2 linked regions of the Caenorhabditis elegans genome follow. The protein of the gene in region 2 purifies or fractionates together with the protein of the main gene of each other region. This does not show direct contact. Each region holds a gene or a part of one and is shown on either strand. Other genes may lie near its edges. The genes, in order: Y57G11C.22 and pkc-3.

Region 1 (9,432 bases), on a different chromosome or scaffold from region 2:
CAACCAGAAATGTTTTTGATTTTGATTCTACTACCACTAGCATCAAGTGTCTCTGTTTTCACAAAGACGGTTCCCTCCAGACTATTAGATGGTGATTTGTCAAATTTACCATTTGAAACAAATTTATTTGTAAACTTTTGCGGATACAATGAGAATGGCGAACCAAATTTAAGGTGGTTTTATAAAATGGAAGATTCAATAATTGATGATGGACTACGTGTTCAGGTTGCCAACGACAAATGCAAATTTGAAATTATTGGTTCGGACGATATGCTAATGCACTGTAACGGTAGACTTTTCCGTGTGCAGGGTAAAACGGTTACACGGTTTTATGACTATGCAGAACTCTTTGCATTCGATCATGTTCAAAAACAATTTTATGTATATCTACACGGGAGCATATGTCATGTTAGGCCTGGAAATTCCACCATCACATTGAAATCAATTTCAAATGTTCGCGATTTTAACGTTGCCGACGGAGTTTTCACCGTACTACTTCAAAATGGAACAATAGAATACAACAATAAAGTGCTGGCACAGGTGGATCCTAGATCCTATTCCAGATTACCAATTTATGCTGCTCCAGATTACGTGGCTACTCTTAAACTTGATAAGGAAGATTATTCTAATATAATTTCGCTAATATTTTTCATAATTGGATCAATAACCGTCTTGGTTTTGGAACAATGCGGACGCCAGTCTGCTCGAGTATATCGTCGGAAATCGCAAGTTTCAATACCACTCGACCAGGACCAGGACCACGACCGCCAACAGCCTCATTGCTCACTATAAATATACTGACATTTTCAATTTCCACCACACCACGCCACACCACACCTCTCACCATGCCTCGATCAAACGGATCGTCATCGCGACTAGGATTTCAATTTCGTTTTCCATCTCAGACTTCAATCATTGGCGCCACACAATCTGGTAAAACTACACTATTGAGAAAAATTTTGGAAAATTGTTCTGAGACGTTTGAAAAACCAATTGACAATATATTTTGGTTTTATGGCTTAGATACACCCAGTATACCAAGACACTTGCACAACTTTCATGCAATCGAAGGATTACCAGACGTTGATCTTTTAAAGCAACACAAACATCCGAATAATATTCTAGTTTGCGACGATTTGATGAACTTTTTTGCACGAGATAAAAAATCCCTCCATCTGCTCAATGACTTGTTTTGTCTTTATGCTCATCATCTCAATTGCGCAATTTTCAATTTGGTCCAGTCTGCGTTTACACTCCCTCCAATAACCCGAAACAATAGCACCTACATTATTTTGATGCGGAACTTGTCGGACGCCTCTCAAATCAAACACCTACTAATGCAGCAATTTGGAGACAAATGGAGAGGAGCCTTCGAAGCATACCAGGATGTAATGTCGAAACCATATCAGGCCCTGTTAATTAATAATGATCCCCTATCTCTCCCTACTATGCGTATTTTATCAAACTTTACAAACGAATACCCGATAGCACATGTGCCTATATAAATGATTGTATTTTGATCTTTTGCTAACAAATGGCTGCCCATTTAATTGTTCACACTGATTTCTTGCATTCTGTTTTGAAACGTAATCGTATTGCTATTCGAGATGCTTCGAGCAAAGAAATAAATATTCTAGTTGAAATTGTGTACAACATGTTAAATTCAAAAAAATATACCATTAAATCTGGCAGAATATCAAATTTTGCAGCCGATACACGATCAACTAATTACCATTTCACGTACCAATGATGTCAACAATGCAAGGAAATTACTATTTAAGCTTTCAAAAAAGCAATTGGCTACGCTTGTTATTCCTTCACTTATTGCGACAAATCTCTGGAAATGAAGTTGATTCGCAAATATCACATGATACCCTACGAGAATGGGTCTGAATATGAATCTGCCAAACGTTTTTTAGAAAATATCCTATCCGCATCAGATGTTGATCCAACTACAAAATGCCGTTTTTATCAAGATGTACTATATCGAATTCGTAACCACCCTGAACTACCAATTGTCACTGAAGAATTATTTGATGTTATTCAAGAAAATTTACAACAACAGAATGACAATCAAAAAAGAAATGTGAAGCTAGAGAGACGTAATTTAAAATATGAAGTCATTCCTGAAAAGAGAGAATCATATCAAGAAAAATATTATGAAAGTCCTCCTGTTTATAAAGCGGAAAATGAACAATTGTTTGATGACGTGACGTACCACAATGATGGAATAAATCATTTAAAGCCCCGCAAAAACGTTTACATCAAAGAAGAGCCCGAGGATGAGGATTATCATATGGAATACGAAAAAATTCCAGAAATAAATATGGAGCAAAATGTAAATGAACTTTTTATGGAACCCCAAAAACATGCACCCGGAAAAATAAAAAAGTCCAAGAAACAAAAGAAAGACGGAACTCTCAGTAGACCTTTGGGTAAAAAGGAAAAGAAGAGTGTGGTGAAAGTGAAGATTGAAGAACCCGATCAAGATATGCAAGCCGCTCCACCGAGGAAACCTGAGGAAAAAACTGTGGAAATTACACCAGTTTCAATTAAAAAACGATCGTTTCAGCAATACGCCACTTCAAACAAGAGGCAAAAGTTTGATCTCAAGAGAGGAAAGAGCATGAATAACGTGAAACCGCGAAAACTTTATAAATTGCAGCTGGATGAGGAAGATGAAGATGAAGAGCCGATGGTTGATGAGACGCCACAAAACACTGAGATTTCCATTAAAAAAAGACCATTTCAACAGGATTCCACAAAAAACTTAAACAAGAGGCAGAAATTTGATTTGAAAAGAAGAAAGAATATGAGTAGAGTGAGGCCAAACAAAATTTATAAGATGCAAAACTTGAAACGCAACATTTCTTCAACCATCCCAGATAATGGTACAAATATCCCTGCTGCCAAAAGGCGCGTTCTTCACGGATCTGGTTCAGCTCCACCTCCAGGTTCACGAGTTTATTGTAGATTATGGAAATTTTAAAATCTGTATATAAATGTTGTATTTTTAAAATTTTTATTATGAAGTCTGCCATAAAAGAAGCATATACAGACGAAAAACTACCTTGCGCCTATTCATCTGTAAAAAACGTTTACAAATATTTGAAGCCAAAATACAAGTCGTTAAAGTATGAACAAGTCGAAAAGGTTCTCGAAGATTTGGAATCTTTTACGCTTCACCGCCCGAATCAATCGCGATTCCCGCGTCGGAAAACAGTCTCACCTGGTCTTTATGCATCTCTTCAAATTGATCTCGCAGATATGTCCCGGTACAAGAAGGAAAACGACGGAGTAACCTTTCTACTAGTCTGTATAGATATTTACTCTCGACGGCTTTTTGTAAAAACGTTAAAGTCTAAAAAAGGACAAGAAGTGGCTCTAGCTCTACAAGACATTTTTAAAGAAATTGGTGTCACACCAATGACAATTTACAGTGATGATGGAAAGGAATTTTACAACTCGCATGTCAAAGAGTTGTTGGCCAAGAATTTTGTGAATCTATTTTCACCCAAAAGCGAAATAAAGTGTGCAATTGTGGAGAGGGCAAACAGGACTCTGAAAACTCGATTGGCAAAGTACATGACTCAAAAGTACAACCGACGTTATGTGGACGTTTTACAACAAGTTGTGAATGGTATCAACAATAGCGTTAATCGTGGAATTGGTAAAAAACCAGTAGACGTTGAGCGGGGAGATTTTTCAACTCCGATGCCTGTAGACAGCGTTAAAATCAAATTCAGAGTAGGAGATCACGTCAGAATCGCTGCAAAACGAGGACAATTTGACAAGGGCTACGAACAAGGATGGACTACAGAAGTTTATGTAATTTCCAAAGTGTTTGCAAGGAAACCAGTTACCTACAATATAGTAGACACTAATGGAGAAAAAATTGCCGGAATATTCTACACTCGAGAACTGACTAAATGCACATATAAACCAGACGCTCAGTATCGAATTGAAAAGATTTTAGCCACTCGTACAGTACGCGGAAAGAAACAGCACCTCGTTCGTTGGGACGGATATGGTGCCGAATTTGACTCTTGGATTGATGCATCAGGAGTATTAACTTTATGATTTGTCCATGCCAATTTCAAGAGCCGCCCACTTTTCTGAATTCAATCTTCATTTGTGCTCAATTTTTTGTTGTACGTAGTGACTTTTTTTGATAATGTCCTCATTCTCAAACTTTTCTTATCCTGATCCTTCACCTGCGAACGTCTTTTGGAATTTTGAAACTCTTCAAAACTCGTCTCAGGAACCAGAGTTTTTGCCATCAAATGTTTCTGATATTCCTATGTCGGAGAAGAAGGGAAAGAAAAATGTGAAAACTTTTAAAACGACACACACGGCTGCCAAGACAACGGAACCCCAGTTTGCTTTACGAAAAATGGAACCACTTGCCGCTATCCTGTTTTGTTCAGATTGTCAGGACGGTGCACAATATGATGGGTCAACTTTGAAAATTGACGTTTGTAAGAAATGCCGAAAGAATATTGGAAATTATAAAATTTGATTGATTGTATAATAATGTTTGAATTGTTAGTAATGCATGTAACACTAATACTTATCCTTATCTGTAATTGAATAAATAATAAAAAATGTAAAACATGTTTTTTGTAGGGAATGCTCTTTAAAGTTTTCGATAACGGGTGGAGAACCCTTTATCGAAAAACTTCAAATAGCTTTGAATGCATCATTTTTCAAAAGCACAGGTAAATTGAAAAAACTTGTTCATCAACTTTTACTCTTGAAACCCCCAGGGGCGCGGGGAGGGGGGCCTCCTTCCTTCATCAATCTCGGTAACGCTTGCATTCATTCAAATCGCGTTTGGGAAAAAGACGTCTCCTAAACGGCAGATGTTTCGAAATAGAAAAGAGTCAAATGCTACTGGGTTTGCGACTACGTCTATAGTGTATTGGTATGGCATCTGTTTTAGACGAATAGTGTCCTGGGTTCGAACCCGTCCCCTGGTTGAATGAACCAAGAACATCAAAAATGTCTTACCAGTCTCTTTCTCTAAATCTCTCAAAAACGCACACTATTTAAAAATCGATTCTTTCTTACTATAACCAAATCTCTCACTCTCTCGTCTTTCTCTAAATCTCTCGTTTCACACACTATTCTTGGTCAGACGGTAAAAAAAAACCAAGGAATGGTAAATTGTACACTCTACCACTACTAGCGTAATATTTCAAATTGTTTGAAAAACATTTTTTTTTCATTTTTTTCTGTTTCTAGTAGTTTTTAAATGAAGTGTTTCAAAAACCAAACTATTCACTTAAACATTATCGAGTTATTATTAAAAAATTATTTTGAGTTGGTTTCCATTTATATACAAGCATCAGAGAAAAAAATGAACAAACCAATTGAAATTCCGACGACACCTTTTTCATCTTTAGTCAACTCAATTGTCTCCGATTGAATTCTCATTCCGAGCCGGTCTTCTTCGATTTGGAACTGTAAAATATGGTTAAAAAACAATAATTAATTTGAAAACCTACAAATTATTTGTTAGAAAGTGAAACAGTAAGTTTTTTCACGATTATGGTAACCAGAGGTGGGCGGATATTTTTTCGGATATTTTCTAATAATGAATTTATCAATAAGTATTGATGTAGTTATTCTGGAAGAAATGTATCCAAACCAAAGAGTAACTATTAAGCAACATTTTAATATGATAAAACCTAGAAAAATTCTACAAGTTTTCCTTACCGAGACCTTAAAACTTATTAGCCGAGCAACATCGGATATCGGATATTACGGATATTACGGATATCGGATAATGGACTTGCATATCGTTTATACAGAAAACTTGTAGAATTTTTCTAGGTTTTATCATATTAAAATGTTTCTTAATAGTTACTCTTTTGTTCGGATACATTTCTTCCAGAATAACTACATCAATACTTATTGATAAATTCATTATTAGAAAATATCAGAAAAAAATATCCGCCCACCTCTGATGGTAACTATAATAGTTATGATTTTTATTGTTCTTTTTTAATAAAAACATGAAACATTCCAGTTTTTTTAGCTCAATTTCAAACTACACAAACAATTGAAAAAAAATACTTACATCCATAATTAATTTTTCTGCTTTAAAATCGATTGTCACTCCTTCACTCCTTCTAGCAGTACTAAAAGCTTCACGAGCAAAAAGAGCACAGAGACGGAGAGATGTAGAGACTACGAGAGAGTGTAGAGAAGCGGGAGACGCAGACAATCATGCACACTGAAAATGGAGAATGAGAGGAGAAGGGAGGAGATGCATGGAAGATGAGCTCAATGTGCATTTGATTCAAAATGGGGTTAGTGGCAGAATTTAAGACGACAAGAGAGGCCTTGGGAAGCTTGAGAAAATATATTGTAGGCCGTGCATGAATCCTCAAAATGTCTGCATGTCTAAAAAGCGACCACTAATGAAAACGAAAATTTCGTAAATCTTCAAAAAAATTATCAACTACAGAAGAAATGCCTGGATTTAAAACTCCTTGCTGAAACAGAGAAAAAACAAATTGATGAACTATTTTTCACTGAGATTCTGAGATTGTATTAAACCAGAAACATAACTAAATTTATATTTGGCAAAAGACTGAACTGCAATTAAAATTTTCAGTTACAAACTATATCCTACAAACTACCAACTAGACAAATTTCTCTTTGACGGAAATTTGTCGCAGGAATACAAATTGATAAAGGGAATACGATATACATATTTAACGCTCATTAACTACATTAATTTTTTGCGAGATGCTTTTAAAAACTTGTTGAAACAGAACAATATTTTCACTAAAAATTCGCAACCTTTTCACAGAGTTTATACATTTTCGGCGTAAGTGTAAAAAAAATCTCAATGAATTCAGATTCTGCAATTTTCCTTGTAAATTCCAGGAAAACTCCCGTTTTTTAAACCAAAATTTAAAAAAAACGAGAACTTTGTAAATCTACACTAATACCAGTTTTCCAAAGTTGAGGTTAAAATTGCAGCATGGAACCGATTAGAAACTACAGAAGGTAATTTTTTTTAAAAACTCACTGAAACAGGAAAAAAATTAATAAAATGTTTTCATTTTTTATAGACTCTGAAAATGTGTTGAGCTAGAAACATAGTAAAATTTCTTGAAATTTATATATTGCCGCAAACAGAGAAACTTTGAACTAAAGTTCACCGTTACAAGATACTTTTAAGGACTTCGTGAAACAGAACATTATTGTCACTAAGGTTTTGAATATTTTCCACAAAGTTTTTTGTGATCAGTTAACTAGTTAGTGAAAATAACTGAAAAAATAACTTGAAAATAGGAAATGTGTAACTTTTTCTTAGTTTTCAGAAAAAAAAATCTCTAAATTGTTATATGAAGTTGGAAAACCAAAGTTGTTCGATTTAAGAACCAAAATAGTATTAAACCGAAAGCATAACAAAATTGTCTGCAATTAATATTTTGACAATAACTGAATTGGAATTAAAGTTGACAGAATTATTATGGGCTACATATCCACTGATTCCTAGCGGAATAATAAAATTCATCTCGAAGAGATACCTTTGAAAACTTATTGAAACGGGACATTATTTTTTCTACAAATTCACAAATGTTTCACAGGAGTTATACTGGACAAAGCATATGCCTAATTGAAAAAAAACAAAATAAAAACTGCAAATTGTAACACTTTGACAAAAACCGAATCAAATTGACTGAAACAAAAAAATAACATTGTCGGAATTTAATTCTATTGAATCGAAATGAAAGTTTTCCTTACTTCGCACAAAAAACAAAATGGCTGGAGTTAACCGGCAAAAATGTCGAAAAACGTCATTGAAAACCCTCCAAATTACGGATATTTAATTTGAAACACATATTTTAACAAATTCAAATATGAATATTAAACATTTTTAAAATTTCTACACGAAAATGTAGCTTATAATAAGGCTTCATTCTTATTGAACTAGACTTATTATAAGCTACATTTCCACAGTATTCTAAAAGATCAATAAAATTCATCTCAATGAGATTAAGAACTTATTGAAACTGATCATTATTTTCACTAAAAATTCTCTAATGTTTCACAGAGTCTATAGTGGAAAACATATTATTAAAAAATATATTAAAGTTTGCAAATTGTGATTCTCCGATTATTTTTCAATTCCAAAAAAAAAATATCGAAACTTTTACACATTCACAAAGTTCATAAAAAAATGTGCAAATAACTTTTAATAGCTCCTGAGTTCTCATTTTTTGTTTTTAATAATTTTCGGATTATTTTAGATTTGAGCATCAAAGCAAAAAAATGAACAATTTCCTCTAAAAGTTACAAAACTGAGTCATCAAAATTTCCCTCACTTCTTAAAAAAACGGCCAGGAAGCACGAAGATTGTGAAAAAATCTAACCAATCATTCGGAACCATACTAGTAAATTTTTCAGGAAATTTTGAACTCTTACAAGCTCATTGAGTTTTTATATTGGCACCAGAAAATTTCAAATTGTTCTCAGCATTATATTGACTACAATAAAAATACTTCCATTTTCAATTAAAAATAGTTTTTTAAAATTTATTAGCAAAAAAATTCTTCAGCTTGATAGTTTTAACAAACTCCAACAAATTCAATTTTTTCGTTCTGATGACAGTTAAATTTTTCATTTTTTTAGGTTCTTTTTTTCAAACTCCACACTACAAATGAGTAAATCTAACGCAAAATACTGCAGTTCAGAAATAAATTAAATAAATTGGTAGGTAGGCAAGTACGTAGGCATCTTTCGCGCCTGCCTAATATGTGAAAATCAATTTTCAACTCAGTTTTTTTTCGGCAATGTTCAAAAAATTTTACTGTTTCATTTTTTATATATATATTTGAAACATTATTATTACATTTAATTATTATGGGATTTGGTTTTTAATTATTTTAAGGAAAACTGAACTTGTTTTCACAAAAAAAATGTGTAATTTTCACAGAAACTGTACATTTTTTGAGTAAATTTTTAAATTAAAAAAAAAAGTTCTGCGAGTTTTCTTTTTAATTCCAGAAAACTCTCAAAATATTTTAACCCTTACACAAAGTTCACAAATAGAGATGCCAAAATTTTTATTCGCTTTGATTTTTTTCCATCTTCAAAAACTTCGCATTGATTTACATTGAGCTTTTTTTTAATTTTCCATACAAATGACAAAACTGAGCCATCAAATATTTTTCGCGTTTTCGCAAAATCCCTTCAAATTGTATTTTTGTCTGTACATAATTGCTAGATGAAAATTCTTCACTTTCAAATTGTTAACAAATTCAAACCAATTGTTTTTTTTAAGTTGAAGCGAATCTTTTTAATGGATCTTGTACCTTTTTCTATTTGTATGAATAGAAAAAGGTGCCTGTCATGGGAACCTCAATTTTCAATACATTTTTTTAAAAAAAATTTTACTGTTTCACCACCTTA
Region 2 (11,066 bases):
CCCCTCGATTTTCTATTTTAAAGAGCCATTTCAACATTTTAGGGCTCGAATCCCATCTCGCCATATCTACTACTACCGTAGTTCCCAACACAATGATCGTTGGATTCTTTCATTTGCTTTCATATTTGAATCACCAGATCCTGTTCAATTTGCATACTGTATACCGTATACTTATGGACAAATGCAGATATGGTTGAATGAGTTGGAATCCAGAAAATACCCATTTTTTCATAGAGATCTTTTGGTTCAAACTGTGGTAAATTGGAAATATTCATGGAATAGTCTGAAACTTTTTGGAAAATAATTCAGCAAAAACGTCGTGTCGACTTGATAACAATTGATGCAACACCTGACACATTCCAAGGATCCAAGAAAATGATTTTTCTAACTGCGCGAGTTCATCCTGGAGAGTCACCGAGTAGTCATGTTATGCATGGAATTATTGAATTTCTTGTTTCCAAAGATGATCGAGCACAGAAGTTGAGAAAAGTTTATTGTTTCAAAATTATTCCAATGCTTAATCCAGATGGCGTTTTTCTCGGAAATTATAGGTAACTTTTTGCAAACAGCCTAGGTAGGCATTCCTCGTCACCAACAACCTCTCGGCCCAGGCATAAAGGCGTACCTACCTACAGTGCCTACCTTATCAGAAGGTCATTTCAGATGTTCTCTAATGGGTCATGACTTGAATAGAATGTGGAGAACCCCTTCAGATTGGGCTCATCCTTCAATTTATGCTGTGAAGAATTTACTGACGCAATATGATAATAATCCGGTGAGAGCTGTTAAATTTATCGATATTGGGAATTTATCGATATACATATTCAGTGTTTTGTAGGACTTTTGAGCATTTTCATCAATTTTTTTTTGCAATTCCCATGATACATTCAAGTTGACTGTATCTCGAAGCGATCAAAATCCTAGATTACTGTAGACTATGGTTAAATTGAAACATTGTGGGAAAGTTGCCATGCTCACTGTTATGTGTCAATTTTAGGAATAAATGAATCAATAATTTGTAGAAGTTTTAGGATCTGTTCTTGAATATTTCAGCAAGCCCAAACTGTAATCTACGTTGATCTACATGCCCATTCTCAGAAGCCAAATTGTTTTTTGTATGGAAATGTGAATATGTCAGCTGTAAGTTGTGAATTTTTTTGTGAATTGGTTCGGGCAACTTCAAGAATCAGTTATGAGTTACTGTATTTCTTGAAGGGGTACAGCAACTATTGAAAATATTTTGTCCGTGGCGAGACCCGATATTAGCCGATTGAAGAACTTAGCGATTTTAAACAAAGTACCCGGTCTTGATACTACCGAAACTTAGCAGTTATCTACAGCATTTCACAATTTTAAACCCTAATCTTTTCATAGTTTCGCTCAACTTTGCAATGACCACAAAATTTAAATTTTCTGAAACATTTTTTTCTAATTTTCGGTCGAAGAAAAATCGACTTTCCGGCAGTTATGGCTTCCGCATTTGCTGGCAGATCTTTCCGAAGATTATTCGCTCGAGTTCACTCAATTCAACACGGATGTGGAGAAGGCTGGTACTGGCAGAAGGTGAGATTTTTTATATGGAAGGGAACGAATAATTTATTATGGATTTCGAATAGTCGTGATTTTAATTTGATGGGTCTTGCCACGATATGAATTTTGCAATAGCTAGTAATTTCTCACATGGTCATCCGTAGTATCTGCGTGCAAAAACACGACTGTGGGTCCTGGCGTGAGTGAACATTTCCAGCAACAGTACCTTTTACTTTCAATCTCTATTTTGCAACATTTTCTCAATATTTTGTGTGGTTTTATAATGATGTTTCTAGAAAATATATGCATATTTTCAAAATGAATACATTGGGAAACACGGAGTTGAGAAAAACACGCTGGGTTACTGTAGCAGAAAAATGCCAGTCGTGTCAGGACCCTTCATAACTTTTCAGAACGATGGGAGATCTACTTTCCTGCCTTTGCTATACACTTGAAGTATCATTCTTCTCTTATCGCCATACAGACTCTTCTGGAAATGGAATACAACATTGTACGCCATATCTTCAATATAAATGTAGGTTTTTTTTCAGTGATTTCCTACTGTAACTTGGTTCAATTTTCAGATGAAGCTCTCGGCGAGGCATTTTGCAGAGCACTTCTCAACTTCTATGAAGCCGACTGTGGACTACGAGAGATTGTGCTCGAACGTCCCTTTAAGACTTTTCTACCCGCCCGCGCCCAGAAAACTTTGAAAAAGCAAGCGAGGAAGGTGATTCAGACTGTGATGATGAAATGAATTGGCGCCCACATTAGAACTGATAAAGACCATTGAAATGCAATTTTTTTTTGTTTGTCAATAAATAAGTAAGGGAAGTGGTCAAATGGAAGAACATGTAAATTGAATTGAAGTTAAATCGAGTTCCACACGTGGCACAAAAGAAGTGTCAGATGGCGAAGAGACTACATTGATCGTAGTCTTCGCCGCAATTTTACATATATTTCAGGGAAATGAATGAGCTGACAAGAAAAGTAACAAGAAGGTGTATTTAGAAGGGGAGGTCATCAAGCATTAGGTATTCCTAGCAAGTATGAATAGTCTAGATTTTAACAGAAACCAAAAAAAATCACAACCTTTTCGGGATTGTAAGATACCACAAGACGAGTAGAAGTGATTGTTGCGAGAAAATGTATAACAGATGTTGAGAAAAAGAAAATAAGTTAGGATACTGATTATGCCACGAGTTAGTGTGTCATAGTATCGTATAAGACAGTGGGCGAAGGAGATGGGATTCGAGAATAATAATAAAAATCACAAAAAAGTATACCGAAGAAAATAAATATTTGGGACTCGGGGGATGGTGGGGGAATCAGACTGAATCTTCCCGACTCATTTGTAGAGGATTCACGTATTCAAATCCATCAAATTCTGATTGATCAATTCGTGCAATAACATCTGGATTGTCAGGTGATAATTGTGGAAGTTCGTCGGTGAACTGAAAAAAAAAACAAGCATTTTGAATTAGTTTTAAAATATTTTGATTCAATAATTTATTAGTAAACAAAAACTAATTTTTTTTTAAAGTTAAGTTCTGAAGAAATTAAAATTACCTGATGATCAAAGTGTGTCAAATCGCGATCACTTTCCACAGCTGGATGATATGGAGGTGCGACAGCCTTCTGTTCCAAAGCTTCCCAATCAATGAATCCACGGAAGAATTGATGTTCTTTCATATCACGAAGACCTTCATTAATGTCAAGCTTACATCCCAGACGTTCTGTTGGATCCTTGTTCAGGAATCCCTTTAGAATACCAGAAGCCCGTACAGAAAGTGATCTAGGGATTCGAATCTGTCGTTCAAGAATGATTTGGAAAAGATAATCTTCTGTATTTTCCTCGGAATTCTGCATTCCAACAATATCGAATGGAGATCGACCAGCCATCATTTCAAACCTAAAACGATTTAAATAAAATAAATGTTCAACCAAAAAAGGCTTACATTAACACTCCCAATGCCCACCAATCAACACTGAATCCATATTCATCACCTCTCAATATTTCTGGTGCAATATAATTGGGTGTTCCACAGAAAGTTGAAGTTAAATCTCCATCCTTAATATTCTCTTTACACATTCCATAATCTGTCAGTTTTATGTGTCCTTCAGCGTCAATCAGAACATTGTCCAATTTGAGATCACGATAAATGATTCCGCGAGAATGAAGGAAATGAAGAGCAAGAATTATTTCACCCGAATAGAATCGAGCGTGCTCTTCTGGAAGCTTCCGTTGCTGTTGCATGTGGAACATCAGATCACCTCCAGGAACGAATTCGATGACAAAGAACAGGCGGGATTCGGTCTGAAATTATCAAAATTTTGGTTTAAAATTTTTAATGCGAAAATTTGAGATTTGAAAAAATCGAAGAAAAAGAAAGTTACCAACCTGGAAGCAAGAATGTAATCCAACAAGGAATGGATAATTTGACGCTGCTTCGAATACTGACTTCTCCGTCTGTACCCAATCGATATCTTCATCTTCATTGAACATCTCCTTTTTGATAATTTTTATCGCGTAAATTTGACGAGTTGAAACATGTTCTGCTTGCACAACTTTTGCATAAGATCCACGTCCAATAACTGTTAAAAGACGGAAATCGTTCAGAGAAACTGCCCATTTTGACGACCCATTTCCATTCTGAAATATTAAAAAATTTTAGTATTTGAATCTATGTAACTTTAAAAATACTTTTCGCCGTTTCTTTTTATCTGATACTGGGAAGCACTGACAGAAAAGTGCCATACGTTGAAATATTAAAATATTTTGATATCAGGAAGAAATCAGAATTCGCAGCGAGGAAGGGAATTGTGGTTGGAAATGAATAAAAATTTTGAGAGCAAGAGAAAGAGTGAAACTACAAAAACTTGTTCATCCAAAAAAAAACAAAAAAATGTAGTTGAGTCTAGAAATCTAGAATGTTTTTCAAGAGTTACATATATCACGTATCTAGAAATTTGAAATTGAAATTGCAACAGGAAGAACCTAATATTTAATTGAACTTTGGATTAAACTTAATTAAATATTTCAATTAACTACCACTATTTCAAAGACTTTCCAATTTAAATTGTTTTTTTTAACAAGAGTTATTTCATTTTCAGCTATTGTAAATCTGAGACTTTTCAGATGGTTTTATTTAAATAAAAGTTATGTTTTTTTGGAAATAAACTAATAAATTTCAAAAAAAATTAACTTTTCTGAATATTAAATTAAATTTATTACGATCCCTCGGAGACGTGAAGACAAAGATATTTATATCAAATTTCAAATATATTTTATTTCAAATTTTGGCTCCAACTTCAAAAGCTTACCATAGCTCTGCTAGCATCATGACTCGTGGATCCGGGTGATTCGATTTCGTGCTCGTGGAATGCTCCGTTATCAATTCCTCCACCCGACCGCGTTGTAGATGAGCTTGTATTCGATCGAGCACCCTTTAGAGAACCACTTGCAGGAGCCATTGGGATAATATTCGGGCCTTGGAGAGCCTGAAAATGATTTAGATTTTTATGAGGAATTTAAAAATTTAAGCTTTAAACCTGTTTTGCACAGAAATTTGTAAAAATTGAAAAACAGAAGTCTGGGAGGTCTTAGTTTCAAAATTTTGGAATAATTTAGAAGCTATCCTCGCTACAAAAAAAAAGAATTACCTGACCACAATGCGTTCGCACATGCCGATGGCATTTTTTGTGCACGCATAAACGACAATCCACACATCGAAAGCCTTGCCGTCCAATTCCCCATATGTAGTCATGACAAATAAAGCATTGAATACGGCTGAAAAGAAAGAAGCTCCGGAGGCTGTAAATCAGAAAAAAAAACCTACCGATTCAGCCGTTTCGCTTGGAATCGATGCCCATTGTACAGATAAATTTTCTTCCATCGTCGAGCACCTCTTCGATATACAGTTTCTGGAAAAAAAACATTTCTCAGACTCGAAAATTTCCGATTTTTCCTCCGACAAATTTCTTGTTAAACGCGAGAAATTGTGTGCCTTTAAAGATTACTGTAGTTTCAAACTGCGGAAGTTTGATCTATTTTCCAAAATTCCAAAATTTATGTGTTTCTAATTGTTTCATTTCAATCTTTTTATAAAAATTGATAGAAATTCCGCTTTACAGTATTCTTTGAAGGCGCACATTTTTTCGAAATTCTAAATAATTTTTCTGATAGCTTCATGATACTTACTGTCTTCTCCTTGACACGGAAGCCCGGGCAGCTCTGGTTTTCCAACAAAAACGTGAATGTTCAACTCGGCTTCTTGACTAGAATTCAAACATCGAACTGCTTCATCAAGTTCCATTTGTGAGTCTATTGAGATTGGATCTCCATCTTCATCAATCCATTTTACAGTAATATCTTGTTTTTTGTGTTGTTTACAAGCATCTTTCAAAAGTGCAAAAAAGTCATCGAGAATGAGCGGTGGTCGAGCATAGAGTACTACTACCTGGAATTTAATTTTTATTAAAATTTGGGAGTCTGGAATTTTTCAGATTAAAAAAAAAAAGTTATACAGTAACAAAAATTATTTTTCAATTTTGCAGAATTTTTAAAAAATCAGTGGTTGTTTTTTTTTAATTTTAGCCGGAAAAGAGCTTTTTAAGTTTTAAACACTATTAATCAAATCATTAAAAGTTCAGAAAAATTAATTTTTTACAGTTTTATTCGGTTATCACGGTCTTTTTCTATTTTTTGTCTGGAATTTTCTCTCTGTTACGAATTTTTAAAGCTTTGACAAACTAAAATTTCGCATTGACGGCGAAATGATTTACACATTCTCACTGCAACGAAAAATTCATTTTTAGGGTATTTCTCGATTTTTGAGCATTTCAAAAGCCACTTTTCATATCTCACCTGTCCTTGAAACCTCGTTTTTAGCTTAATATCTCCGTCCTCCTCTAATGATGTCGGAGACGACATTCTGAAATAAAAATTGAACTAAAAACGGTTCAAAAAAAGGAGTTCTGAACGAAAACTGCGAAACTGAAACAGTGACGAGTTGGCAGTATTAGAGTAAAAAAGGGAAAAATGACTCATGAATAAACATGCACATACACACACACACACTGTTATAGCTATATATGCATTGACGCTCTATCGAACACCCCCATTTTGTCCAAGTGTACAGGTCAGTGAGAGCGGCCCAGCTTTGAAGAGGCATAGAGAAATGAATAATCACAGGTGACCCTCACAAACACTGTACAGGACGACGATGCGCGCGCACCGACTAACACGGGCGGTCTAGGAAAGTGACAAAAAAGTAACAGAGAGAGAGTCTCGACACATATTGTTTGTTCCTGAACAGAAACAGTTATATTCGAATACCGAGTTTATTTTACGGTTATCAAGCAATTTCATGAATTTCAGAATTTCAGTATCAAAATGAAAAATGAGTATAAATAAACCGTTCAGATAAATACTAGGGATACGGGGGAAATTAGAGATGTAAGACATTTAGTGCTTCTTGAAGTACTCTTGGCTTTCTTTGACTCCTGGCTTGATGGTGTCGGATCCTGGAGTCCATCCAGCTGGGCAAACCTCTCCGTGCTTCTCGACGAACTGGAAGGCCTGAACAAGACGAAGAGTCTCATCAACAGAGCGTCCGACTGGAAGATCATTGATGGTGATTTGACGGAGGTTTTGTGATGGGTCGATGATGAAGAGTCCTGAAATTTTATTTTTCAAATAAAGTACGAAAATATGAAGGATTCCATTCAGAATATAACTCACCACGGAAAGCAATTCCTTCGTCCTCCTTGAGAACTCCGTAATCACGGGAGATTTGGTGGTTGGTGTCAGCGAGAACTGGAATGTTCATCTCTCCGAGTCCTCCGTGCTTGCGTGGCTGGTTGATCCATGCCAAGTGAGAGAAGACAGAGTCGGTGGAAGCGGCGAGCACAACGGTGTTGATAGCCTTGAACTCCTCAGCACGGTCAGAGAAGGCGATAATCTCGGTTGGGCACACGAAAGTGAAGTCAAGTGGGTAGAAGAAGAGCACAACGTATTTTCCCTTGTAGTCAGAGAGCGAAACATCAACGAACTCGCCATCAACGACGGCTTGAGTCTTGAATTGTGGAGCTGGCTTTCCGATGAATGCTTTCGACATCTAAAAATTAATTAGTTTAACAAAAAAAAATAATACCGCGATAAAATAACAACCACAATCACAAGAACAACAATACGACAAAAAATGAAAAGGATATTGAAACCCAACGGCAACGAATTTGTTTGCAATGTGAAAAGAAGGAGAATAAGGTGACGGGCGGTGCTTATCTAATGGGAATGAAATACATTGGCAAAATTGGAGAGCGACGAAAGAAAAAAAATCGGAGGACGAAATGAGAACTAATAAAACATTCTGGGAACATCTTTGAAAAACCAAATTAATTGTTATAAAAGTGAGTGATCATGTTAAATAACAGAAATCGAGGGGTTTAAACTTTTCCGTGATTTAAATTAATATCTAAGTAACCAAATATATTTTTAAAAAACAAATAAGAAATGCACCTTTGGAGCGAGAGACATGATTTCACACTGCAATTTTTAATAAACATTTCTTTGCATCTTCCAAGAAACGAAATAAGGTCAGTCTTTTTATAACATTGCCACAAACTTTCATCATCATGTGACGCGATTTTTGCTGACAATTGTCGCGGCAGGGAGTAACAGACTACAACGTTTAGGAGGAGCGAAAATCTTAGGGTTCAAGGTCACTTTTAAAGAAAATTCAAATATTATTACCTGTCTATACATCTTGGCGCAGAGTTTTAGAATTTCAGCTGGTCGAGCAGGTCTTAGAATTCGAATTCACTATTTATCTTAAATTTAGCTGATCGATTCTATCTCTCATTTGGCTAGCGTATTCTTCCCCGGTTGCTATGGCTTCCTAGCAAGCTTTCATAAAAGTCGAAAATAACCTGAACTCGCAGACAAGATTGCAAAAAAATGTGGAGTATTTCAACGGGCGCCGCTAGGCGCAGATCAATAAATATGAAGGTGGTCAGACGAGAGAGCGGAAAAAAACGAGGCGCCACGAAGTAAACAAGTGAAACTACGCGAATGCGAGAAAATCTGCGAAAAAACTAACCGGTTGGAGATGTTGCGTCGAAAATCCTAAAAAGGGAATAATTCTGGAAGCGAGTTTTGGCGGTTGCGACAAAAAGTAGGTCAAAAAGTGCTTTTAGTTTTAAAATTGAAAAATGAGAGGTCTGGATGGAAGGAAACACGAGACTTTCATGTTTATTCGAGCGCTTTAGGCAAAATTGAAAAAAAAAGTTTGCGGGAAAAATAAAAAAATGTTCAGGTCCGCAATTTGACTTTGCGGTGAACCGCGTATTTTGAAAACTACCGTAGTTGGACAGTTGGTCTCGTCGCGACAATTTTTCTTAAGTACAAACGAGTGTGTGCCTTTCAGGAGTACTGCGAGATTTATCGATTTTTCAAAGTTTTTCGTTTGAAAACAGTATTTATCTAAAAAACTAAAATAAAACAATTAAAAGACGTTAATTTCAATAAATCGCGATAGAACCCATAAAATCTGTCAAATTTGTAGTGATTTTTCTACGATTTGTTCAAATTTATGTGTTTTCATTGTTATAACTTAGTTTTTAACTGAATTTATTTTTATCGAAAAAGTAAACGAAAAACGCCAAATATAACAATTAAAACCCATAAATTTCAATAAATTGTAAAATGTTGAAACTATGAAAAATAAAAATAAAATAAAATTCCACAGCAACAAAAAAATTACCGCAACATTCTAAATATATATGGTCAGATATTCAACATTCCGGTGTGGATATATAAGATAACAACTGAGAATATAATGTGTTCGGTCATAAAATATAATTTATTGAACCTTTCAAAATAAATAATTTAAAGCACATAGGACTATCACAAAAAATACACTGGCGATTCTAAAACGAAACGCTTAAAACCCAAATTTCAAGAAAAAACATTAATTAAAGCGTAGATTGAATAATCTCGTCGAGCTTTCTTGCAAATGCTTCAAATGCAAACACTTTTTGCACCCATTTCGGACCTTCCTCACTCATTCTTCGATACATTTCCTCATCTTTCATCAAATCAATCATTTTCTCAGCAAACGCTTCGGCCGTTTGATCAACCAAAAATCCCGTCTCATTATTCCGAACCGATTCACAGGGACCTCCAGTGTTAACAGCAATTACTGGGGTTCCCAAGTACATTGCTTCAACTGGAACAATTCCGAAATGTTCTCTATCAGGCGTGTAAAGTACCGCACGACTTCTCCGAATGAGATTTACTTTTTGAGTGTCAGATGGTGAGTGGAGAAATACGATCTGAAATTTAAAAGTAATTTATACTTTGCTAAATTCGTATTTATTACCTGATCAGCTGGGAGCTCCAGTTTCTTCATATGTTCAACAAGTTCATCATAGTGTTCGATGTTTTCTGGGTTTTTCAAATCATATCCGCCAGCAATAACAAGATGACATTGCGAAAATTCGTCGGCAGGAAGATTCGATTTCAATTTCTCTGCAAAATAATTTATTACACAGGTTTTTAAAAATATAAAATCTAAAGTTACCGAATGCGTCTAGAGCCAAAACGATATTCTTCTTTCGTTCAAATCGGTTCAGTGAGGTGAAAACATATTTGGTACCACGTGGAATTTCTTCACCAAAATCATCCGAAGCTTCAATCGAATCGAAAAACTCGGTGTTCAACGAAGGATAGAGTACGGTCAGCTCCTGAGATGCCAGTGACTTGAATGTTTCACGAACCACATTTTTTGTAAAATTACTATTGACACAAATGACATCTGCAAGTCCAGTTGTGTACTCTTCAATCCAATCAATAATATTTCTATAGAAAGCTTTCAGATTTCCATCACGTTTCGTTAAAAGTCGATCCGGGAAATGACAATAGAATACGAGTTTTGCCTTTGAGAAATGACGAAGAACAAATTGACTAGCAGATACAGAATCCGAAAGTATGACGTCAGTATCTTTGTGGTAGATTACAATGTAGAGAGCAGCAATGATCATTTTAAGATATGCACAAAGAGCATGACCTTTTCCAAAAATTGAACGGGGTATCCATGGAACCACAGTACAAATATCTGAAAAATGAAATCAGCTTGACGATTGGTATTATTACGGAGACGCGAAATTTTTTAGATTTTTGCGACAAAAATACGGTATGTGACTTCTTTTTTTTGAATGAAAAATTGCATGCAATTTTAATGAGTACTGTAATTTCAAACTTTTGTTGTCGCGGAATTTTCATCAATTTTTATAGTTTTTCGATAAAAATATATTTATTTATGTGATATCTAAATATATCAACAAAACACGAATTTGGAAATTTTTTCAATTTTTTTTTTGCGAATTTTGAAAAATGAATGTTTTTATTGAAATTTTTGAGTTTTAAATATTTAAACAAATAACTTTTAACACAACTTTGTCGTGTCAAGACCAGTTACCGTATTTTTGGCACAAAAAAACGCGAAATTTTGCATTAAGGCAATACGACTCACCCA

Evidence for each region.
Region 1: the proteins of pkc-3 (region 2) and Y57G11C.22 purify together in Caenorhabditis elegans (affinity purification with western blotting, with the first as the bait; one study listed by BioGRID). This does not show direct contact.

Annotation. Positions count from the first base shown.
Region 1 is NC_003282.8:14,833,867-14,843,298, reverse strand, and holds the start of Y57G11C.22 (PRKCA-binding protein), read right to left. Parts: upstream 6,089-9,432; coding exon 6,083-6,088; intron 5,982-6,082; exon of another isoform or gene 5,960-5,981; intron 5,487-5,959; exon of another isoform or gene 5,466-5,486; intron 5,464-5,465; coding exon 5,370-5,463; intron 5,302-5,369; exon of another isoform or gene 5,280-5,301; intron 2,990-5,279; coding exon of another isoform or gene 2,573-2,989; intron 2,459-2,572; coding exon of another isoform or gene 1,920-2,458; intron 1,453-1,919; coding exon of another isoform or gene 906-1,452; intron 541-905; coding exon of another isoform or gene 10-540; intron 1-9.
Region 2 is NC_003280.10:5,375,425-5,386,490, reverse strand, and holds pkc-3 (Protein kinase C-like 3), read right to left. Parts: upstream 6,465-11,066; 5' UTR 6,464-6,464; coding exon 6,398-6,463; intron 5,991-6,397; coding exon 5,732-5,990; intron 5,455-5,731; coding exon 5,370-5,454; intron 5,321-5,369; coding exon 5,194-5,320; intron 5,032-5,193; coding exon 4,855-5,031; intron 4,184-4,854; coding exon 3,932-4,183; intron 3,848-3,931; coding exon 3,489-3,847; intron 3,443-3,488; coding exon 3,100-3,442; intron 2,985-3,099; coding exon 2,859-2,984; 3' UTR 2,322-2,858; downstream 1-2,321. Other genes in the region: ccpp-6 (Cytosolic carboxypeptidase 6), read left to right, coding at 43-256, 310-551, 664-775, 1,054-1,140, 1,439-1,563, 1,944-2,065, 2,115-2,287; Peroxiredoxin prdx-2, read right to left, coding at 6,998-7,209, 7,274-7,649, 8,051-8,068; algn-2 (Alpha-1,3/1,6-mannosyltransferase ALG2), read right to left, coding at 9,505-9,864, 9,912-10,060, 10,113-10,646, 11,064-11,066.